Tamandua tetradactyla: one gene and its partners. The protein of the gene in region 1 binds, or shares a complex with, the protein of each later gene. Links are inferred from orthologs where the notes say so. Each region holds a gene or a part of one and is shown on either strand. Other genes may lie near its edges.

Evidence for each region. Proteins that work in one complex are often made in the same cells at the same time.
Region 2: SMARCA5 (region 1) and RSF1 share a complex: the UniProt entries of both Homo sapiens proteins name them as parts of the RSF-5 ISWI chromatin-remodeling complex. The link is inferred for Tamandua tetradactyla from reciprocal best matches to the Homo sapiens genes SMARCA5 and RSF1.
Region 3: SMARCA5 (region 1) and MYBBP1A share a complex: the UniProt entries of both Homo sapiens proteins name them as parts of the B-WICH complex. The link is inferred for Tamandua tetradactyla from reciprocal best matches to the Homo sapiens genes SMARCA5 and MYBBP1A.

The regions. Positions count from the first base shown.
Region 1 is NC_135348.1:24,143,960-24,151,846, forward strand, and holds the start of SMARCA5 (SWI/SNF-related matrix-associated actin-dependent regulator of chromatin subfamily A member 5), read right to left. Parts: upstream 3,136-7,887; 5' UTR 2,879-3,135; intron 2,856-2,878; exon of another isoform or gene 2,654-2,855; 5' UTR 2,592-2,653; intron 2,398-2,591; 5' UTR 2,358-2,397; coding exon 2,181-2,357; intron 507-2,180; exon of another isoform or gene 484-506; intron 1-483. UniProt on the Homo sapiens protein: ATPase that possesses intrinsic ATP-dependent nucleosome-remodeling activity.
Region 2 is NC_135334.1:66,955,261-66,962,895, reverse strand, and holds the start of RSF1 (remodeling and spacing factor 1), read right to left. Parts: upstream 3,171-7,635; 5' UTR 2,883-3,170; coding exon 2,687-2,882; exon of another isoform or gene 2,627-2,686; intron 1-2,626. UniProt on the Homo sapiens protein: Regulatory subunit of the ATP-dependent RSF-1 and RSF-5 ISWI chromatin-remodeling complexes, which form ordered nucleosome arrays on chromatin and facilitate access to DNA during DNA-templated processes such as DNA replication, transcription, and repair.
Region 3 is NC_135332.1:58,579,621-58,587,916, forward strand, and holds the start of MYBBP1A (myb-binding protein 1A), read right to left. Parts: upstream 3,171-8,296; 5' UTR 3,119-3,170; coding exon 2,912-3,118; intron 2,709-2,911; coding exon 2,613-2,708; intron 1,977-2,612; coding exon 1,893-1,976; intron 1,819-1,892; coding exon 1,744-1,818; intron 1,630-1,743; coding exon 1,522-1,629; intron 613-1,521; coding exon 437-612; intron 310-436; coding exon 142-309; intron 17-141; coding exon 1-16. Other genes in the region: GGT6 (glutathione hydrolase 6), read right to left, coding at 5,209-6,224, 6,574-6,687, 6,776-6,978, 7,604-7,737. UniProt on the Homo sapiens protein: May activate or repress transcription via interactions with sequence specific DNA-binding proteins. Repression may be mediated at least in part by histone deacetylase activity (HDAC activity).

The sequences.
Region 1 (7,887 bases):
TGATTTCAGAAAAAAGGACCTTAAAACCTATTTTAAGACAAAATAAAAAGGTTTGTAAAAATGTTTCTTTTTTTTTTAAATCTATCCTCAGATAATGTGTGTATGCTCAAACCCTTTCGTGTAAGACTGAGGGTACATTTAATTTAGAAAGATGAAAGACACCATAATGTGACAGAAAAAAAAAAAAAAAATCTAGTCAATGAAAAGATAGATTGAGAAAAGATAAAATTACTGATATTTTCATACTGAGAAGGTAAAAAAAAAAAACCCAGGCAGGCCACGGTGGCTCAGTGGTAGAGTTCTCGCCTGCCATGGCGGAGACTGGGGTGTGATTCCCAGTGTTTGCCCATGTAAAAAAAAAAAAACTAAAACCGTGTCATTCTGCAGTAAATGAAATTGCTAAACATCATTTGTATAAGAATGTGACACGGAAAGATGTGGGGAAAAACAATCAGCTTTGAAGTCAGGCCTGGGTTCACTTACAGGTTCTAGTTAAAAAAGACTCAGTTTCTTCATCTGGCAAACACGACTCCACACAGCAACTGTTGTTATCATCATACCAAACACCTATTTAAAATTTAATTAAGCTTTAATTTTAAAACAGCAAATCAAAGCCACAATAATTAGCTTTAAATTACACTGCTTTCTGATATTTAAGACCTCTAGTGAAACATTTTTACATTATTCCAAGGCTGAATGAGGGACTTTTTCGAGAAGCTGATGAAAACTATGAATATCTTTTCGAACATCTCTTCGCAGAGAGTTGCACATTCACACACAATTTTGCTTTCAGTATCACATTTTTTAAGCCCTCTTACCCATGGGGCAGTAACCTAAGTTAAATAGCCCTAGTAACCCAAAAGAACCACAAACCTTAAGGGAAAAAAGGCAATAGCAGATACATTTTTATTTTAAATTAATGTCAATCACTGAAAACTACGTAACATTAGATCTCCTATTCCACTGAAACTCATCCTCAACACTAAAAGTACTTTCAAAGATTAATAACAAAAGATGTTATATCACCCTAGATTAGATCCTTGCTGCTCAAATAAAACTACTGGCCAAGTGCCTTCTTGGTAAACTGTGCTACCATTTTCTCAGCCTGCTGATTCTGCATCAAAATTTTCATAGCAACACTAACTTCATTTCGTCTAAGAATGGAAAAATCACAGATAATCTTTGAGCTGAATATCGAAAATATCTCAAAACAGGTTGAAGACCACGAACAAAAACTGGAAGGGCCAATCACTGTTCCCAACCATAGAAAAACCTTGAAGCATCTCCCAGAGAACCACCTAGTAGCAACACTGTCTTTCCACCCCCACAGTACAGTCGTCACCCACCTGAGCAACCCAATCCCACAGGGTGCAGTGCGCTGTACTAATTAAAGACAAAAAAAAAAAAAATGTCAAGGCCCAGAAAGACGTACGCTGGATGGAAAGCCAAATAACGGACCTTAATTCACTAATTCATTCATCAACTCCCACCGAAAATTAGACAGCGATCCCAAGACAGCAGCTGCTGCTGCCTTGGCCACATCCCTCCCGGCGGAAAAGGGCCTGGGAGGGACCTCGTGTCACTTCAGAGGAGCAGCTGTGTCCCGTTTATCCCCACTGCGCAGAGGGCCATCCAGCCCTCGCCATTGTTTCTTTACGAACAGATACCGCCCCCGCAAGGACTGGATGAAAGAGGCCCGAGAGCTCGCATGCGCTGCTTTTAAATGCCTTCCATTCAGAAACAGTCTTTCCCTCACTTTTAAGGGGCACCTCCCTCGCTCCTCCCCCAAGTTTGGTGGAAACTAAATCCTACATTCAAGGATGGGCAGGGGAATTATGGGAGTCTAATGGGGCTACAACACGGGTGGGTAACTCTCACTTGACCACAGTAATCAAGCACATCTGTTTAATAAGGGCATTAGAGGATTTGGCAAGATCTACTAAAAAAGACAATTATAATGTGAAGTGCCAAAAACCATCTGAATCTGCTTGGACAGGTGACAGAGCGTAATAACGAGAAAGCATCATTTCAGATACAAAAGGCCTAAGGCCGAATTTGGTGCAGAGGGGTGAAGTATGACTCTGTGTCTATCACTGAACTCAAGGCGAAGGAACCAGCTTCTCGCCACTGCCTTCCCGCCCTCTCTCGCGCTGCAAGCTGTTCCCACCTTCCTCACTCACCTCCATCTCCGCGTCGGCAGGACCTGCGCTGGCCACCAAGGGAGCCACCTGGGACACGACACCCTCCAGACAGCCTTTGTTGCTGTTGTTGCTCCCGCCGCTGGCGGCGGAGACTGTGGTCTTGGAAGGCGCGCTCTCGAGAGGCGGGGGTGGCGGAGGCTCGGCCGCGGACGACATGATGTTCCGTCTGCGTCACCCGCTGCTGCCAGAGGCCGGCCTGGCAGGGATGGAGGGAGAGGCCTAGGTAGGCCTGGGTGGCTACGTCGCAGTGAGCTGATGGAAGAGCAAGAACCCGATTTCCCGCCCCCCACCCCCACCCCCGCCGCGGCTCCGAAACGGGCCTGAGGCGGACGCAGCAGGTTCTTCCTCCGCGTCCTCCTCAGCGGCGCTCGGTGTTCGACGCGGGCTTACCTCACGGCGGGAATCTCGTCGGCGAGAATGGGCGGGGCCAGCCGGGTCACCAAGGTCAGGGGCTGATGTAGAGGAAGGCCGAAGGTTATGGAACCACGAAGGAAAGAGAAGAGAGACTGAAATGGGGTAGCAGCTTCGCCTCCTCCTCTAATACCTCTGGCGAATATCACCTAACTCACCAGAAACCAGGATCTACTACCTACGCCACCGACTTTCAACACTCGCGAGAGTGCTGGTTGGCTGACTGGGGCCCGGTTGCGCATGCGTGTTCCGTCCCTCACGCTTACCCACTCCTCCCGAATCTTAAGCATGCTCTGGAGCGCGGAGTGGGTGGGACCTCGAGGGAGACCAGAGAGGCTGGGAGAGATGTGAACCCAGGGTTTCTGTGTCGGCTACTCGGCATGACGTGAAAGCAGTTTTATACGTGTTCGTAACGGTTCACCGGCCTTGGATTCGCTGTCTTCTCGGCCTGGCCGGCGTCGGCGGCATTCCCTGAAGACTTGCCGACTTCGCGCTGTGTACTTGGAGGTCTGTCCTGGGCCTTAACGCTTTTGCCGCCTCCGACAAGCGCGTGACGTCACTGTGACGACGATACGGTTATCTTGAATGAAGTCTCTTTTTTTGTTGTGGTCTTGTTGTTGTTGGCGAAATGTCCGTTACAAAGGTATTTTTGGTTAGTCTTCACACATTAGCTGCATCAGTCATTTCTGAATACCCCCTACTTCCTTTTGGTGTAAGGGTATACGATTTTTCCTCTGAATTCCCATGCTAAAAGTAAGCAGATAAGTTGCGTGCGCACACCGTTAGGTGAGGAACATGCGTATCCAATAGAAGAAAACAGACGAGCGAAGGGTTGTATCTTTTCCTCATCACCAAACGTTTAATTAAAATGTGCATTCTCTTTTCCTTACAAAGTTGTGTTGAATTTTCGGCACTGTAATTCTTTGTGTAAACTGCTTTGTGCATCCACAAATGCCTAAAGGTTTGTGCATCCATCTATTATACAGAATTTAAGCACATTATGTTCTATTTGATAACAAAACTGCGTGATACGCTAGATTATTATCTGCCCTTTCAGGTGTCTTATTCATGTCCGTATCCCCGTGTCCACTGTTCACTCAGTATTTATTGGATAAAGAAGACAAAATTTTCAAGAGTTAAGGTTGAACCACCTGGTTGATTATGTTGAATTTCAAACAGAAGGATTTTCTTTTGAATATCCTGCAACCATTTTAGCTAATTGAACAATAATTCTTTGAGAGCTAAAAAAATGTCCTCAGCCCATCAAAAATGCCATTTCTGATTTTAAAACTATTGGGCATCCAAAACCGAATTGTTGGTCTTTAACAGCCATTGACATTGAAGAAGAATAGCGTTCATTAAACAGTGTTAACCGAAAAAAAAATCAAGTCAAAAATGTAGAAAAAGATGTAGATTAAAAGATTAGAAGGCTATGCGTAAAAGTATTCAAAATGATTGTCACTGGTATATTTTTTGAATTACTTTTTACTTGACTATGTTTTCTGATTTTTCTAAAATGAATTTGCATTATGATTGTATTGAGAAAACTCACTTTTAATTTTAAAAAATGTTAATTCAAAAAAAAAGTTTGTGAGGGGAGAATGAGAAAATAGTGTCTACGATGTTACCTGACACACAGACTTCAATTATTTGTTGAATAAGTACTTGTTTAATATTTACATTCTTATGTAAAAGGAATACAGTATTAATATTCAGAATATTTACTTAGTCTTTACAGTTGTCTTAGGTAAAAATCTTGGGTCCTGATTTGGAAACCCTAAAATTATACGTAAGTATTTAAATGAAAGGGTCTTAAGTGTGGTAACTTTTTAAGGAAACCAGTAAATAAAATTGCCCAAAAAGTGACAGTAGTTATTTAATATGTACATTAGTACTGTGGGTTTTTCATATGAGCATATGAACGCTGTAAAAGAATCTTGTTAGGGGAAATTATGGAGAACAAATACTTAAAAGAAACTAAGGAGAGGAGACAAAACATTGTAAATCACTAATCTAACATAAGGGACAGAGAAACAGATTTTGAGCAGAGCCTTAAATACAGAGACAGAGAGGGGAGAGGTCTACCAAAAAGAGAGAATGCCTAGAAATAGGATTTAGAAACATAAGCTGGGTTAGGCAGATAGCAGTACTTACATGGTGGTGAAATCACCATGTAGATTCTTCTAAAATTAAAAGGCTAAAGCTAAGAGCTAGTCCTGGAATTGACAGTATAATGTAGAATTTAATGTATGGTAAAAAGTAGAAAATGGGGAGTCAGGCTCTGGAACTTAGCAGCTGTGTGACTGCAGGCAAGTTATTCAGCATTTCTGAAATTAGTTTTCTCTTTCCTCAGATTGGAATAATATTCTTATAATGTTGTCATAAGGATTAAATTATGTAGTGCATGTAGGTGCTTAACACCGTGCCTGGCAGATAGTGTGTTATGATTTCAGGTGTGAGGTATTCTTATTCTGAAGAACCATAAACCTACAGATCAGGGCCTAGGTGGAGGAAGAGGAACTTAATGGCTTTTTGAAAGAAATAGAGGGGAATGATGGCAAGAAAACCCTAGAAAGAACTAGTGTTTTAACCATGTTCAAGGAACTGTGTACTACAATGTAAAACCATCTTAGTGTTCTCTCTCAAATATGCAGCATATATTGTTTACACATGAAACTCCTTCTATGAAGACCTCTTTTGTAGCTCAGATGTGGTCTCTCTCTCTCTCTAAGCCCAACTCTGCAAGTAAAATCATCCCTACTGCATGGAACATGACATCCAGGGGTGAAAGTCTCCCTGACAGTGTGGAATATGATTCCCAGGAATGAGACTGCCTTCCTGACCAAAAGGAGGGAAAGAATTGTAACAAATAAGGTATCAGTGGTCAAGACAGTACAAATCAAGAGGCCACTCTGGAGACTGCTCTTACGCAGGCTTCAGCTAGACATTGCTATTTATCATAGCGTGCCAAACCCCAATTAAAACCATCCCTGCCAACCATAAAGAACATCTAGGACTTTATCTGAGATTCTACAAAGGCTCCATGCGCTATAGTTACTTTCCAGAAATCTGCAGCCTCCAGATGGGTTCCTAAGCTAGAAAAGTCCTGAAACTCAGTGAGGCCATCGTCTCCAGAATATGAATTAATACCATCCGCCTAGCCCATATTATCAACAGCCCTTTCCAATATGAAAAAGTTAAAATGGGCATAGCCCAAATACCCCTAGAGATTGGGAGAAAGATCAAGGAGAAGTTGGAGTTACAACAGAGAAGATAGGATTTAACCAATGAATATGACTGCTGAATCATTATATTGATATTTCTTTTAGTCTCCAATGTCTTGGAGCAACTAGAAGGAAAAACCTAAAGTTGTAGAACCGTTACCCATACCCAACTCTGAAATCTGTTTTCTAACTAATTGTTGCAGTGTGCTTTAAAGTTTTCTGCTTTTTTGCATATGTGCTATTTTTCAGAATAAAAGTTTTAAAACATAGGGGTGCAAGGGTAGTTCGGTGGTAGAATTCTCACCTGCCATGCAGGAGACCTGGGTTTGATTCCAGGCTCATGCACTCCCGCCATACCCCCAAAAACAAAATTTCAGCGAATGGTGCTGCAATAACGTGATAGTCACATGGAAAAAGAATGAAATGTGACCCCTACCATACAGCATAAAAAAATTTTTTTAAACAAAATACCCTCTGTGAAACTTAGTATGTTAGAACAGCATGTGCAGTATTGAAATAGGATGTAACAAAGAGATGTTGCTGGAGGATAAAAGGTGCCAGATAGCCAGGAGCTTTTTGGTTTTGATCGGTAACAGAAACTTTAAGTTTCAAGGAAAAGGTAGTAGTGCTGCACTAATCTTCACTGCACACTCATTTTAGTTTGTAAAAGTCTAGGAAAATAAAGTCTGGTTATTACATGACAACAATAAAACAGCACTGGGTTTTTATCTAAGAATGGGAAATTACCAATGTTCTTAGATAATTGTGTGTGTATCCTTTCCTCACTTCTCCTGTATAGGTCATTTGCCAAATAATTTGGGGATTTACTTTCAGCTAACGAAAAACATTAACTATACTCTTAATAAATTAAGGTTAGTAAAGTTTAAATACATGCCCCTTACATTTGGTCAACTCACATCATGGTGTGATTTTGTACGTTAGGTTTATATACGCATATTTCACTACCTTTTAAATTTGTATTTTCCTCACTATAACTTAAAATTCCATTTCTTTGTGCATTTCATTACTGCTTGTTAAATACAATTTTTCTTTATCGAATTGGTTCTTGGGGAAATACTTCCAAAAAACCCAAATATTATGATCCAAAGTTGTAACTGCTCTGCCCAAAGCTTTATAGGTTAACTGACAATTATGAAGCAACTTTCTTTAATAAAACTCAAAGTAAATAAGAATCTAGCACTCAACTAACTGTAGCCAAAGCTACAATTAAGAAATTAATGGTTTCTTTGTACACAAATTTTGTTTGCTGTTACTTATAAAAATACAGAAATTGTAATTTAAAACTCATAATGAACATCTGGCTTCTAGTAATGGAAAAAATAGCTTGCTCCTATCAAATCATTGGATGGCAACTATGAACTCTAGAAAAATATTTTTAAAAACTACCTGGTGACAGTGAAAGCAAAGGGAAAAAAGTCATCAGAGATTGGAGGGGAATTTATACCTGGGGAAGAAAGTGACACTGGATGAGTTTCACCCTAACCAATACCATATTGAGAGGCTAAAACTTAGAAAACACTCTCACTTACTGGCTCTAAGAATTTGAAGATAGTTTGGGGGAATCACAGCAGCTGTAAAATAAAGAGAGATATCCACATAAGGGGAGAGACCTAAATTCTGTAAATAAACTGACCAAATCACTGACTGAAACCTGAAATAAGCAGATATGAGACAGACACCAAGCAACCCAGCTAAGATCAATATCAGGTGCTGCTCACTATAGGAAAGATAGAGTTTGGGGGTTGACGTTGGCCAGTTCAACAACAAAGAAAAATCAAATTCCTCAGAGGAACAGACAGCATTGAGTCCATAGGGTGTATGATCCCAAATGTCCAGGATATAGCAGTGACTCACACACAAGAAAAAAAAAAGAAAAATCAATGGTGATGGCTTTGCAATACTTGGATATTCCAATTAGCAGACAAGATTTTTAAGACAGCTGTAGAACTGTACTTAAGGGCATAAAGGAAAATATGCTCATAATGAATTATATAGGAAATATACTGAAAAAAAAACCTTGAAAATACAGT
Region 2 (7,635 bases), on another chromosome or scaffold:
TGCTCTCAAGAGCATAAAAGGTCAATATTGTGTTCAAGCTTCAATACTCACAATGTGCTAAAAATTTTGGTTCCAAATGCACTTATGTGCCTTTTATCTGCAGGCATCTTAATAAAATTTGTAAGACAAGAATATTTCTAAATGCTTGGTTTATGAAAGGATTTTTTAACATTATTTCATTTGACCCTTGGATATTCTATTTACTGAAGAAATTGAGGTCCATAGAAGTTTAGTGATTTACTCTACAACCTACAGATCAATGATAAAATCCGTACTTCTAACTCTTTCTGGTATACCACATCTTTCCAAAAAGACTGCTCAAATCTTGTCAATGGGACCAGTATTGTTTAAACAACTATTACAAGCAGGTTGACCAACATCAAGGGCTGAGAATTTTTTTCCTGTACAGTAACAGCATTTCACTTGCAGAGATTTTTTTCATCCACCAAGTATCTTGAATGGTTTAACATTAATAATTATTCTTAGATCACCTCATAAAAGGAACCATTTTTATCAGTCTTCTTTGTAAATGGTAATGGATGACTGAGCTATATGATACCTTTAACCCAGATTATTTCCCACACTGTACTCACCTAGTGGACCACTGGTGAGTGGTTATTCAACTCCAAATAAAAAATATGAAAGGTTTTAAAGAAGGGTATTAAATTTTCTTTTTAAGGAAAAATATTAAACTAGCCTTCACATTTTTTTCTTCCAGTACTAATATAAACCAAACTCAGTGGGCAAAATATTAAAAGGAATGGAGGGGGGGCAAGCAACCTTGGTACCACCCCAAATACAATGCCATCACAGAAAGGCTATGCCTGTCTTTCAACTTGATCCAAAATTCTAAAACCAACTTACCAGCAATCCTTCCATCCCCAATTCCCACATTTGTCTCTTTGGTAAATACATTACTATCATTTCCCAAGGTATTCTAACAGCAACTTACTAAGGTCTACCTCACAATGACTTTTTCCTTAAAAACTAATGCAAATGCAATTCATTCACGAAATTACGTTAGGACGCTTAATTTCTAAAGAAATTCTGCAGGAAGTTTTTATATAATGCATTTTATCACCTCCCTAGTTTACACCATTCAAAAAATTAGTCTTTTATATACCAGGATTTGTTAAGGGTGGAGGGGATTTGGAAAAGAAGGGATAAGGCCTATACTCTAACTGCTGTACTAATTTGAAACTTTGGTTGCTGTAATTTCTTATTCTCTCTAGGTAATATTTTTAAGAACTTCATACTTGGGCATTTTCTAGCAATGTAAATATATTAACAGAAACGTCTTCATTTCCATAGAGAATAGAAGAACGACCCTGCTTTCTTGGAAGGAAACAGCTATCTGTCGTGTACAATACTCAGCCCACTTTGCGACCGAATACAGACACACACAAAATGAAAAAAAAGACCTGTTTGGAAAATGTTTCTTCTCCAGTCAAAGGCTTTTCCCAGATAAAGGCAATGCTAAGGTGAGTACAACAAAAAGCCCTTCTCTGAGGGAAGAAATGTTCTAGAAAACGGAAGGCTTGAATTGGGAATAGAGGGTGAGTGTATGTGCTGTGTGAGGGCTGGAGGCAGCAGGCTCAGCGCTGAGATGCTCCAGCAGAATTACCAGCAGCAGCAGGAAGTTTCAATGGGGCCGTGCAGAGCATGCGCCCTGCACCCGCGCGGTGGCCTTATGTGGAAGGAGCACCACTTGCTAACACCAATAATAGACCAGCGGCACCAGAGAGAGAAACAAGAGCAACAAGCACCTTCTTCAACTGTTTCTCCCCTCTGTCTGAGCCCCTCCTCCAGCCTACATACAAACCACCCCACCCCGTAAATGGGAGGGCGACTTCTTCTTCCCTTAAGCCCTACAGCCAAGATGAAGGGGGAAGGGAGTGGAAAAAGTAGAGAGATCCTTTTCTATTATTTGGGGGAAGGTGGGGAGAGAGAGAAGGAAAACTATGGGGGTGGGTGAAGGAATTAATCCTCTCTCCAAAGTGGAGAAGCTGAACCTACTTTGCCCCCCACAGCGAGGATGGAGAATACTCTCCCTAAGGGGAGGAGCAGACCTCCCTACTCGGAAGGAGTTTGGGGGGTTAAATCCGCCCTTCAAGACAGGGGAAGAGGGACTAGAGCACTCTCTCGGGGGAGTTCCCACCAGTGGGAGGGAGAGTTGGAGTGTCCGCTGGCCTCCGCCCACCCAGGTGGAGGAAAGGAGTAGGCGCTCCGACGAGATGGGCCCAGCCTCCCCCGAGATGGTGGAGAGGATGGTGGGAGGAGGGGAGGTTGAAAGGAGGGGAGGAGGAGAAAAGCGCAAAGCTGGCCGGAACCTGCGCTCCCCTTCCCCCGCCACCCAAAGGGAGAAGGGGTGGGGAACAGGCCCCCGCCGCGGCAGAGCGGTCCGAGGGGCAAAAGACAAGCACAATGACCTCTCCCCGTCCCCAGTCAACACCTAGCCCGCGACGCCCCCACCTCCGCTCCCCGCTTGGCCGGCTGGCCCTAAGGGGGGCCCCCGCCCCGCCTCCCCTCAGCCCAGGACTCCGGCGGCAGGGCGGAGAAGACGAGCTCGGCGGAACTGCGTCCCAGGGAAAGAACAGAACCGCGGAGGCCCGAGGTGTCCGTGAAGATCTGAGAGTAGGAGCGCGCCAGGGCCGCTTCCCGCCGGGCGTTCGGGCCCCTAGCTTACCTTCTCCGTTGCCCACGTCCGGCGGCGGCGCCTGCAATACCCGCTCCAGCTCCGGGAAAGGCAACTCAGGCAAGTCGAGCAGCGGTCCGTAGCGCTCCAAGAAGGAGCAGACTACGGCGAAGTTGGGACATGAACCGGGGCAGCCCGGAGGAGCCATCGCCGCCACCGCCGCTGCCGCTGCCGCCGCCGCCGCCATTTTGAACTGGAGGATGGAGGAGGAGGCGATGGGGGGTAGGGGGAGTTGGGGTGCCGAGGAATGGTGGCGCAGCCTTACGAACGACAGGAGGCGCTGTCGAGTTAGCTTCCTTGTGGATCCGAGCGTCTCAAGCACGGCGCCGCAATCCCACAATACAACGGCGGCCCGGAGCAGTCGAGAACGGACTCAGACGGGGGAAAGAGAGGCACTCTGAGCGATTCACTTTCCGCCCTCATTCGGCCTCCTTCCCTCCCTCTAGTTCGCCCCTCCCACTTCGGATTCGCCACGGCCTCGTGTGACAGGGGGAATGAAAACAAGGAAAGCGGGGTGGGAGGCGGGCTGGAGGGGGGGAGGCGGGACTCTTTAAGAAGGATAACCAATAGATAGGCGGGGGCGGTGTTTCGGGTGATGGCTGGCAGAGAGACTCACGGGGCGGGGGCGGGGCGAGGGGGATGGGGCAGCACCTGGCAGTGAGCGATCAAACAAGTTGTGGTGCGCGGTAATGGGCGCAGGCATTTAAGAACGCTGCTCTTTTGAGAGAAGTTGTTAGGTGAGTTTTGAGGGGACTCTGGGAAATGGACTAGGCCAGAAGATGATGGGGAAAGTGAATAAAAAGCAGAAAAAGAGAATAGGGGAAAAAATGGCACGCTTCTGGGAGGAGGTTGGGAGAGAGGTAGAGGTAACCATAATAAGGGGATAAGATGGGACCTTTGCCAGGAGAGGTCTCTGCTAAAGTTTACTGGTGGGATTGCTCTTTTTGGGGGGGTACAAGAGTCTCAACTTTGCGAGAAGAAGACAGGGTCTGAGGGTATGGGGCAATGCTGGGGTCACCAGGGTCCGAGGGAACGGATTCCTGTTGAAGATGAGAGTCTGTGAGTGGTATAGGCTTCCACTGAAGGGGTGTGAGCATTGTAGGAGACTTGAAAAGAAAAATGTTTGTTAGAGGACAGAGTTCATTTCGTTATGAGGAGCGTGAACATTCTTCCGCAACCCCAGGAGAAAAACCACCAACCGCTAATAATTCAGAACAGAATATGCAACTTGGGAGACAATATACATAGTGATTAGGAGCTGAGCTTTGGATTCAGCCACAACTTGAGTCCTGATAGGACAACTTTATGACATTGTGCAAAATTCTTAATGTCTATGAATTTCTGTAAATAGGATGATAATGCTATCTACATCATTAGGTTTTACTAGATAATTTTACAAATTTTTTCGTAAAGGTTGAGATAAAGAGCACAATGCCTCGGCACATTGTAAGTACTTTAAAAAACGTTAGTTGCTATTATTTAAGAGTTCTTACAACGTAGATTGAAACCAGCTGTATTTATTTGGATTAAAGTTTCCTTTAGACAAAATCTCCAGACTGCATTTAAAACTTACATAAAATAAATAATAAAATAATTTGAAGCAAGGGTCAATACAAACCATGTACACTAGGATAATTTGTAAGTAAAGAAAGATAAAAAATTATGTAAGGAAATAATTGTATCAATAAAAAGGACCATGGTTACTACAATTAAACATTGAATTTTGGTCTGCATTTCCATATAACAAAAGCAAAAGAGGGAAAAACCATAGTGGGCTATGTCATTCTCATTATCTAAAGAAATAAAGCGTTTATCATGGAAGGAAAAGGTTCTTCCTGACAATTTATTCTTAGAGGAATATGTTACCTAGACTAGTGATTCATAAACTATATACAAATTCATAATATACAAATCCCTTTTAAAGGACAAAAAAACATTTTTTTTGAAATTTGGCAAATAATCTTGAAAATTACAGTTTAAGAATATTGATGTAAGAAATTAAAATCTTACTTAGGGAAAATGTCTTATGGTTGTGAATTTCTATTGCAAAGGGGAATTTTCATTTAGTGAGTGATAAAATAGTGTTTTTAAGCAATCACTGAAATGAAAACAAAACTAAATTAAAACATTTTTGTAGAACTCTTCTGACTGCTGAATATATGTCCCTAGAGCCTGGTGACCTGAAGGACCCTAGTTTAAGAAAAGTCTGATCCAGAAAATATTAACAACAATTTTGCAGAACACACACACACAAAAAAAACCATACAAAACAGACCTTCATATAGTTAAAATTATTTGGTTTGGGTGGGCCACGGTGGCTCAGCAGGCAGGAATGCTTGCCTACGATGCCAGAGGACCCGGGTTCTATTCCCGGTGCCTGCCCATGTAAAAAATAATAAAAAAATAAAAAAAATTAAAAATAAATTTGGCTTACATATAGGCTTACTTAAATAAAACCTGGGTGTACAATACTAAAAATATTTTTGTGAAGGAATTTCTGTAGAGAGACTCTTCATACTCAAAAGATTTATGGTATTTTGTGACCCCTTACCCACCCTCCCACTCTCCCATGAGGTTGTAAAATTACATTTTTAAAAAGCAAAAAAATGCATTATGCTATTGTGTGTTTTTTCTCTCAGTATTCACACTTACTCAAAGAAAGACTGATGAATAAGGTTAGAGTTTCTGCTTTTTCTGATTGTGATTAGCATGGAAACATAGTTCTTGGGCATCTGAAAGTTATATCCACCTAAAAGGTAGGAGATGTTTTACTACAAAGCAGGGTTTAAATCATGCCATGATTAAGTCTGTTCTTGAAAAGAAGATAAACAAGAACCATAATGCCAACATCTCTTGCCTTTCTGGGTTGAGAGGTTGTGGGTTATAAGAGCATAATCCAAATTTATGCAGTTAAGTAACTGAGTTAAATATACCTAAAAAGAATGTAAAGGTAGAAAAAAGTAGCTTTTTTTTTTTGACATGTAATTGATTCATTTCTACTGCGAAGAAAGAGGTCTTTAAATAAGCACTAAATTATCTACGCTTAGTCTGACTTTGTTTATAAGAAAAATGTTAACAGTTCAAATTTCACATCTTAAGGGGAAAAAAAGACTATTTGCTCAGTCAGAATTAATGAACAGATTAAATTGAAACCAACCCAAATGTTCATCAGCAAAAGAATGGATAAAAGAATTGTGATATATTCTTATAATAGACTGCTGCTGATACTGATACACATTACTGACACACAGCAGTATGACTGAATCTCAAAAACTCGTACAATTGAAGAAGGCAAACTCAAAGAATAGGTGCTGTATGATTCCCTCTGTATGAAGGTCAAACTAATTCTGTGGAGATATTCTCAAATCACAATGGTAGCAGTGTGCCTTACAGTAGACCAATTTATATTTATTTATGTCTCCCCACGCATTATCATTGCATTTGTGCACGATTTTTCGTTTCTGTTTTTGGTTTTTTTGAAGTGATATAAGCTCAGTAAAAATGAATTAAACTGAGTTATGTATTCTTTTTTTCCGCTTGGGCAGGCACGGGGAATTGAACCCACGTTTTGCACATGGCAGGTGAGAACTCTGCCTGCTGAGCCACCATGGTCTGCCCTATGTGCACACTGAATTGAATTATAGAGTCAATTCAGGGAATTCCTTGTCAGAGAATGAGCAAATTTATTTCCCTTTGCTTTAAACGCACTTTGAAAAGTGTTGATACATCTGGAGGTGTGCCAATGTATGTTGTATGTAGTGAAAAAACCTATGTATCAAAAGGATTAGGAACCTTCAAGAGAGTTTAATAAGAAAACATATAAAAATAAAAGTCTCAATATAAACCTATTTTCTGGTTCTTTGTCTTGATGATAACTGACTTCTGTGTTGCAATAAATAGAATTTGCTTCATTGATGATGGTAACTTTAGAAGTGTCTTACTGACCACCTCTTAAGAGTTATGTCTAGTCTATAGTTTTCACTTAAAAGCGTAATGAAGATTAATTTCTCATTACACCTCATGGTATAGTTATTTGACACAAAGGTCAGGAATTGTGTTGTGTGGTTTGATGTCTTGCATACCAAGGGCTGATATTCCACTGGTGTAGAATAGGAAGGCTGTACCAGTTGTTAAAATACTGAAATACTGAACTTACTGCCAGTTGCAGAGTAGACCCTGCCTTGATCCTAAATTCACTCTTGCCACATTAACTACCCTAGTCTCTCTCTGACAGCTCTCAGCAACAGCACATTTAATACTGATGTACCAGAATCCTATTCCAACACTTCACTTCCATTTTGATGAAGTCAGTACCTATGTTGTGCTCATTATTAAGAATTTTTTTAACTTTTTTTTATTGCATAGTATAAGATATATATAAAGCAAAGAAATAAAAAAGCAATAGTTTTCAAAGCACTCTTCAAAAAGTGGTTACAGGGTAGATCCCAGAGTTTGTCATAGGCTACCATACAATCCTCTCATATTCTAGCTGCTACAGAATACAGGAAGCTAGAGGGCTTAAATACTTTTTATCATCACAATCGACTTTTTTTCCTTCTTTTTTGTGAACAATAACATATATACAAAAAAGCTATAAATTTCAAAGCACATTGCCACAATTAATTGTACAACAGATTGCAGAGTTTGGTATGGGTTACAATTCCACCATTTTAGGTTTTTATCTCTAACTACTCTAAGATACTGGAGACTAAACGAAAATCAATATAATGAATCAGAAATCATGCTCATTTGTTCAGTTCTACCTTCTCTGTATAACTCCACTATCACCTTTGATTTTTATCCCACACCTTAGGGATATGTGGTCTATGCCCCTTCTAACTGTTTCATGTTGGAAGGGCTGTCGATAATATGGGATAGGGTGATGGAACTAGTTGATATTCTTGAGAGGCTGGCTCCTCTGCATTTCAGGACTTATCTGG
Region 3 (8,296 bases), on another chromosome or scaffold:
GCGAAAGCACAGGTAGCTAAGGGGCGTGGGACAGAGCCTGGTTAGAGTCCCCGGCTGCCCAGGTGGAACTCAGGACCACTGTCCCACTCCCGCTTCACAGCCAGGGAGAGGAGGGCCAGATGGGACATGGGCCGCGCGCACCTGGCCGGCCAGAACTGTTTCTTCAGCAGCCCTTGTTCCACCACTTCCTTCCAGAACCGCGGGAACTGGTCCTCCTGGAGTGCCAGGCGCAGCAGGTCCAGCGCCACGGAGGGCAGCTTGCGCTCCTTCTTCACAGAGGCGGCGGCCACCTTCAGCACGTTCACCAGCCTACAGAGGGGGGTGGTGGTGGTGGGGGGGTGTCAGGGTACCCACCTAACAGAGAAGGGCCACCCCCAGACGCCATGACAGCTCCAGAAGCCTCTGAGAGCCAACCCTCCCCACCTCTCACACAAACCTGGGAAGATTCTCATCTGAGAACAGGTTGACAGGTCCCAGCAGCTTCTCCAGCTTCGCAGGCACCTTCCGCCGGGCCAAGAGGAAGAGCTCCAGGTGCTCGGGGGAGCTGAGCACCACACTCAGGTCAGCCTTGAGGACCTTTGGCAGGATCTCCTGCAGTGTGGCCTCTGGGACCTGGGGGGTGGGGACAGCTCACGCACAGCACCTTTAGCCTCTCTACCTGCCAGGCTCCTGGGACAGTCCCTGGCACAGTCTGAGGTGGGACAGCCACCATATGCCTTGCTGTGCCTTGGAACCATCAAAGAGCACTTGCTAAAAAATTTCAAACTTCGAAGTCCCAGAAAGCTAGGTTTTTAATAAGCATCCAACGGAGGCTGATTACATTAGCCCAGGACCACCCTTTTGATAATTCCTCTGTTTTTGCTTTCAGAGAACCAGCCCCTTTCTTATCCAAAGAGTCTTAGCTAAGAACCAGTGGAAGAGCTGGGGTTGTACAGAAAACCCTGGCCTGGGCTGTGCCAGCCTCCTGCCCCTTTCTCAGCCTCCAGAGGGTCCAAGTACCAGCCTACTTCAGTTTCGCAGAGTGGTGCAGTCCCTACTCAAACTAGCAGCAACAACAAGCACATACGTAATCCTTGCCACGTGCCAGGCACTGTCCTAGAGCTGTGCTGTCAAATGTGGCAGCCACAGCCACAGGTGGTTACCGACTACTTCAATGTGATGAGACTGAATTGAAATCTGATGTAAGTGCAAACTGCATGCCGGATTCTGAAGACTCAGTATGACAAAAGGAGTGTAAAACGTATCAGTAAACTCTCTTTATGTTGATTACATGTTCAGATGTTAGACTTCTCAGACACAGTGGTTTACAAGAACCTGAAATGCATCAAGATTCATTGCCCATTTCCTTTTGCTTTTCTGATGCAGTTACTAGGAAATTTCAAACTACATATGTGGCTTGTCTTTTTCTCTCTATCAGACAGTGCCACTCTAGGGTGGCCTGACACATTCACTTCCTTAAGGTTTCTATATGGCGGTGGGGGGGAAGAGTTGCCCAAGGCCGTCTGGCCAGCGAGCCCGCACCTGGGAGAGGACGTCCACCAGCACCTTCTGGGGCTGCTCCTGCAGGTGGTTGTGGTGCTGGGCCAGGATCTGCAGCAGCTTCACCGACTTCATCAGTGCCTCCTGGTCCTGGCACCACACAGAGGAGCAGATGGTGTGAGCAGGGCATGCGACTACGCCCCGCCACTCCCAGGCCGGTCCTGGTGCCCCAGGTGAGAGACTCTCCCGGTCCCCAAATCTTACCTTCACCAGCCGGCCTGACTGAAAGAGCGCCAGCACCCCAAACAGGTTTGCGAAGAGAGCGGATCTCACTAGAGCCTAGAAAGGATCCCAGGCACTGGTGAGAAGTGCCCAAGTGCTCCCCAACCTCTGCTGTCATGAGCCCCACTCACCTTCTTCACCTTCCGCAGGCCATGGGCTTCTTCTAGCTGCTGCAGGACACCGCAGAGGGGGATGCTCTCGAAAGACTGTAACAGCTGCCAGGAGTGGTGACAGGAGGGAGAGAGGCTCAGGGAGCAGCCCAGCCATATCCCAGATCCTGGCCTCCTCCCCCTTCTCCCTTCAACTTCTGCCAAAAGGCCTTGGGTCCCTAATCCCACCCCCAAGGATGCCTCTGAAGCTGCATCCCACTAAGCAGTGAAAGATCACTGCTGCTCAAATGGGGCTGAACCTCATCTCCCTGCCCTCTAGATTGCTCGACACCCTGTCCCCAAAAGTCTGCTCTGGACTCCCCCCACAGCCTCCTTTATTGCCCTTCCACTCATCCAAGTTCCAGAGACGGCCTACGGCCAGCTGAGCGCCCACGAACCTTGCAGAAGTAAGGGAACTTACCTCAAAGTTCTCCATCCCCCCATGCACCCTGAACCTGCTCAACCTCCCACCCCACCTGCCTGGGCTTCTTAGCAGCCAAATCACAGCTGGCATCTTTTCTCTACACACACGTGGTGAACCTTTCCTCAGATAGGGTGGGTTCCTATCAACTCCATGCAGCCCTACAACCTCTTCCTCTGACACCCCTCTCTAGACAGCGGAGGCATCCGCCCCCTTCGGACCCCTCCACGCTGACTAGCATGGCTGGGCATCTTGCCACAGGCCAGGAGCCAGCACCTCACCTGTGCCAGAGCCAGGCTGTAGCAGGGCCGGGCGGTCTCTCGCCCGATCCCGAGGCCACTAATGAGGCGCTTCAGGGCGTATTTCATCTCAGATCCCTGCGGAGCCAACACAGACCTCGTGGCGGCGGGTGACACGAGTTAACCTGCCCTAGCTGAGCATCGCTCCTCAGCCCGCCCTTACTTTGGCTTCCCGTTTCGGGACCACGTACCAGCCCCAGCCAGCCCCCAAACTAGGGGTCCCACCGCCACCTCTTTACAGGGATCTTCGTGGCCCCCGGACCCAGGCCCCGCCACCATACCTCAGACCGGGTGCGCAGATACTCCAGCAGTTTCTCTGTGGCCTCAAGCCGCGTCTCCTGCTGCGGCTTCGCAATGTCCCAAAAGAAGTCCAAAAATTCGCGGCTATGCTGCAGCAAGTCATGGCGATCGGTAGGCCGGGCGCCGTTCTTCGTCGCCTCCCCGGGGGCCACGGGCTCAGCGACGTCCTGACTGTCCATCTCCGCCATGCTGCAAGAACACGTGGGCCCTGAAGCCTGCCTCTTCCAGGTCAGGTCCCGGCGCATGCGCGTTGACTGGGTCGCCGGGGAGAGGCGTGGCCAGGGGCGTGGCAATGGGCGTGGTCAGGGCGGACCAGGGGCGGGGCCAGAGGACGCGGGCTGCTCCGCGATAATACCTTCTTAGAGCAGTGTGGCAACCCTGACCTCTCCCTGGGACCCTCCTCTCCCCGGGCCCCTGAGGATCCTTCTCAGAAAACGAAAACACGCGAAGCAAATCGATCCTTCCCCGCGGGGCCCCTGTGCTTTGAAAACTGTTGAGCTGCTCCTGTGTGCTGCGCGCGGGGCTAAGAGATAGAAGCAAAGTTACTGCTTCCACGGGTCGGGGTGGGGGTGGTGATCACTGATTGACAAGTATCCAAGTAACATCTTAAAATGATACTTAGTATGAAGAAGTGAAAGTACAGACACACAGGTCAGAGGGAGGCTTTGCAGTTTGGAAACGCCTGAATGCGTCATCGATTAAAAACATTGCAATTAAAAAGAAAGTGGAATAGGTTCGACGAGGCTGATTTGAGGGCACGAGGAGGGGGCACCTGTGCAGGGAGAGCTGCAGGACGAGAAAGAGCCCCTGCCCGAAGATCTAAGAGGGACGAGAAGCTCAGGGAAGGAGGGCACTGCAGCTACCCGGGCCTCAAAGCTGGGGCAAAGGATCAGGGAAGCCAGATCCCGTGGGGCCCCAGGCCAGGAGCAGGAGTTTGGGTTTTATTCTGAGTGTGATGGAAAGTCAGCAGAGGGTTTTACAAGAGGCAAGCCTGGATCAGATTTGCATTTTAAAAAGATTATTTTGGCTGCTGGGGTGGGCGTTGGATTGTAGGAGTGTAATGATAGACACAGGGAGACCAGTTAGAGACTCTAGTGTTTAGGGCGAGGGTAGTGCCGGCCCAGGTGAGATTCCGGCCAATTAGGAGCTGATCAGGGTGGGTGATGGATTGGATGTGGGAATAGAGGAAGAGAGAGGCTTAGAGCCAAAATAACTGGGTAGATTGTGCTACTATATTGAGCTGGGGAGGACTTATTGGGGGAGGGAAGAGATGGTGGGATGAAGGGTTCGATTAAATCAGAGATGCATTTTACAACTTGTGGGGAGGGGGTGGGGGTGGGAGAGGGTAGACAGGCTTCTACTGGCTAGTCCTGCTTTTTGGCCTGAGAAACTGTCTCTGGAATTGTGGTCCCAAGTGGCCCCAGCCCTAAGGGGAAAGATCAGAGTTGGCTGCAGCCTTTAGGTTCTACATGCCCAGCTCCAGCCCCTTTTGCTCCCAGGCCCCTGGGACACCTCCTCATCACCCTCTCAACTCTTTCCTTGCCCTCCTGTCTGTTTTCAAAAGTGAAAGGAAGAGGTTTACTGTGCCCATAGTGTGCCTTAGGAGACAGAAGGTGAAGGGAGCCGGGGGGGGGGGGGGGCTGAAAGACAGCAACTCAGACTGTGCCCCTTTCTGGGGGGGTTGGTCTCCGTGCTGCCCAGGGGTGAAGCCCTGACCTAGGTGCTTCAAAGACTGATGTGAAATTAGCCAAGAGGCAGGAATGGTACTTGGCGTTTAGGAGATTCGATCTTTATTTTGTTTCCTGTCCAGTCACGAGAGATCAGCAGAGGGTGGCCCCGGTGTCCAGAAGAAAATACCATGGAAACAGTGGAGAGAGTTGGCCCAGAGAGTCCCAAAGGGGAGGGCGGAGATGCCAGCAGCACTCCAGGATCCACCTGCTCTGCTGGACAGGGCCCAGAGGCTTAGCACTCTCCTACCTGGTCTTCCTAGAACCGAGTTCCCAGGCTCTGTTAACCTCAGAGCCTCCTAAGCTGCAAGAGGAGCCAAAAAATCCATCCAGGAGGGGTGCTTTGAAGATCCGCTGAGCTAGCCCTAGACGTCTAGGTAATTGACAAGGCCTGGAATTGGGGGCCACTGACCAGATCAAGAGTCACTAACCAGGCCAGAGGTTGGGGGCCTAAGCCCATAGTACCATGTAACAGATGTGCACGCATTGCTGCTGGGCTTGCTGTGCCCCAGGCTTGAGGCATCCCTACCCATCGCCAGACCCTCCTCCTGTTAGAACCCCTGGAAGGGACAGCAGCCATGGGGGACGCTGGAGACATGAGCATGCTCAGCGTGGACCGCCACTTGCAGCAGGGTGCCTTGGCCACAAATGCTGGGGCTCTCCGTTGGTTCCTGCTGGGACCGGAGCACTGCCAGGTGTCTGAGCAAAGTACTAGCCATGGTTCTGGCCGCCACAGGGATCCCTGAAGCCACCAGCCCCAGCACGTCCGCCTCTGTGTCATCCGGGCTGCCATGGAGAATGAGGGGACAGGCCCAGGCATTTGCTGCAGGCCCGGCCACCAGGTTGCTGAGCAGAACCCCAGTGCTGGGGGACAGGTGTCTGGAGCCGAAGGAGCTGTTGAGCGAGGAGGTGAGAAGGAGCACAGAGCCATTGCTGTCCACGGCGGCCAGGACGCTGCTCATGGGAGTCCCAGCAGCTTGTGGGAGCGGTGGGCAGGGGGCAGGGCTAGGCGTCCCGGAGCCTAGGGCTGCCTCCAACAGAGCCAGCAGTTCTGGGCCAGCCGAGGGGCTGGGGGTGGTGAACAGAACACCCTGGGCCATAGGCAGCTGCAGCGCTGGCTCCAAGGTGGGCATGGGGCCCGCTGAGGGCACCTCCAGCCCCAGGTCACTGGCCACCAGACCCAGGAGTGCATTGCTGGATGGATCTGGGGTGCGGGTGAGGGTTGTGTTGCGTAGCACTGCTGCCAGTCTTGGGTTGGTTGCCCAGGTCCCTACACCCAGGGGTGTCCCATCAGCGTGGCAAAGCAGTGGGCAGAGGCCCTTTGTGTCCTGGGCTGCCAGCGCCCTTGCCAGGGATGCATCCACCAGGAAGCCCTGTTGGGCCAGCGTGGTGGGGCCTTCCAGCAGCTGTGGCCAGGGCAGGCAGCCGAAGTGTGCGTGCAGCAGTTGCAGGGCAGGCAGAGCCGCAGGCAGCCCCACGCCGGGGACCAGGGTCTGGGCCAGGCCTGGGGTCAGGGCAGTGGCGTTGCCTGAGGAGCCGTTGTGGAAGAGGCCCCAGAACCTGGCACCTGAGGGCGGGGGTGGGGGGGTGGAAACAAAGGGGTCACGCAGGGGTCAGGAGCACTGGCCAGGACTGGGGTCACCGTCCCTTAGCAACCCCAAGTGAAAGGTCACTGACTTGTTTGAGGTTGAGCTTCCCAACTGGGCCTGAGGTCAGGGGTCAATGACCAGTCCTGGGGCCAAGAATGAATATACTTAGGGTCAAAGGTCACAGTCTAGGGGTCATTATCATTTGCCCAAATCCTAGGTCCTGCTCACTAACCAGCCCCGAGGTCAGGGCCACTGACTGTGCTCACATTCCAAGTCACCGAGAAGACCGAGGGTTGGGGTCGCTTTCTGGGGACGCAGGTCACTGACCTAACCCCGTGGCATGAGGATGCACCACCGCGAGGCACAGGGCTGCTCCGACTCCAGCGTCCACCACATTGCCCCCGGCAACGAGCAGCTCTCGGCCCAGGCGGGAGCACACGGCTGCAGCAAGGAAGCGACTGTCACCGGAAGGGACTAGGGACCCGGGACCCCTGCCCCTCCCAGGTCCCGGGCCGCCGCGAGCTCTGACCTGCCGGGCTGATGACGGCCCCGTGGTGGAACACGCTGGGGTGGTGGGAGTGGCCGCTGGGCCAGGGGGCCGCGGAGTCCAACCCCCCTGCAGAGCCGCCCCTGGTGTGGAGTTTGCTCAGGGCCAAGGAGATGCCGACGGCCAGCAGCAGCAGGGCAGCGACTAGTCGGGCCCAGGCCCCAGGCAGGCCACCACCCTGCTTCCTGCAGGGTTGGGTGTCCTGAGCCAGCATCCCTGAGGGGCACCCCAGAGAGCCCCAAGAGAACCAGGGACTGTTTCCCAAAGGGATCTGGTCTTGCGAGAGGGGTCACGTTTGCCAGAGAGAAAGGGTTTCCGGGCAGAGGGTACAGTAGGGACAATGACATGGAGATGGGAAAGAGCTTGGAGGAGCTGAGGATAGCTAGAGAAGGCGCATCTAGGAAGGGGGTTGGAGAGGCAGGATCGGGTTAACTGGGAGAGGGGCCTGAGTGGGGGTTGATACGGGAGAAGAGGCTGAGGAGATGTGCCTTGCCAAGCCGGGCCAGCCAGGTGCAGCCAGGTTCCAACCTGTTCAGCAGGTGCCACCTGCCCCAGGGGGTGGGGGCTGGGACAGAGCAGCCGGCAGGGGCTAGCTTGGTACCAGTACCCCTTGAGGTTCACTTATCTTTGGCTGACCGGCCCAGGCCAGGACTGGGGTGGCAACCCCACCCCCATTTCAACCAGAAAGTTCCTGGGGCTGAGCCAGGCATGGGGGGTTGTCGGTCCCCCTTAGGGGCTCCAGAGAGAGGGACCTGCCAACTCAGATCTCAGATCTGAGGAGCTGGGCACCCAGACCCCTCCCAGACTCACGCTGAGGACTCCTGGGGCTCCCCGGGGTGTAGAACCAGCAGTTCTGCTGTCTCCTCCTCTTCCTCTTCAGACTCCAAATCCGGCTCCAGGAGCTGAAGCTTCTGGTACAGCATGGGGCCTGCTGCAGATTCCATGGGCCCCCGGCGCCCTCCCAGCCCTCTCGGCTGCCACCCTGCCTGGCTGAGTCTTGGGAGGCCCTGCCCAGCTGAAGGGTGGGAGGGAGGTGGAGGCGGCCTTGGGGAAGGGTGGCGGAGCCTAGAACAGGTCTGGGCAGGGCGCGGGAGCAGGCAGCACACTTGTGAGGCTGCCCTTTTCGGGCCTGGGCTCCAGGGGCTCTCACAGCACGGTTCCCAGAGTGGGTCCCTGTGACGGGGAGCCCAGCCCAGGACACCTGCTGGCCCCCTCCCCTTGGAGCAGGTGGCCCCTGGCGTCCCCCATACCAGCCCGGGACTCTGGTGTGGGGACAGTGCAGTTTAAGTTAGCCCTACAGTTTCTTTGTAGCACATCACGTGACTAGGTTCAGGTTGGGGTGTGTGTCTGGGCTTGGACTAGGGTCAAGGTTCAGTCTGAATGCTGGGTTTCCCCCATCTAGAGAGCAATTTCTGGGTGGACCAAGGCCTGTCATACAGCTTCCTGTCCAGCAGGTGGCGTCACAGACCTCTTTTGGGAGTCCATAGTCCCCAAGTTCCTACG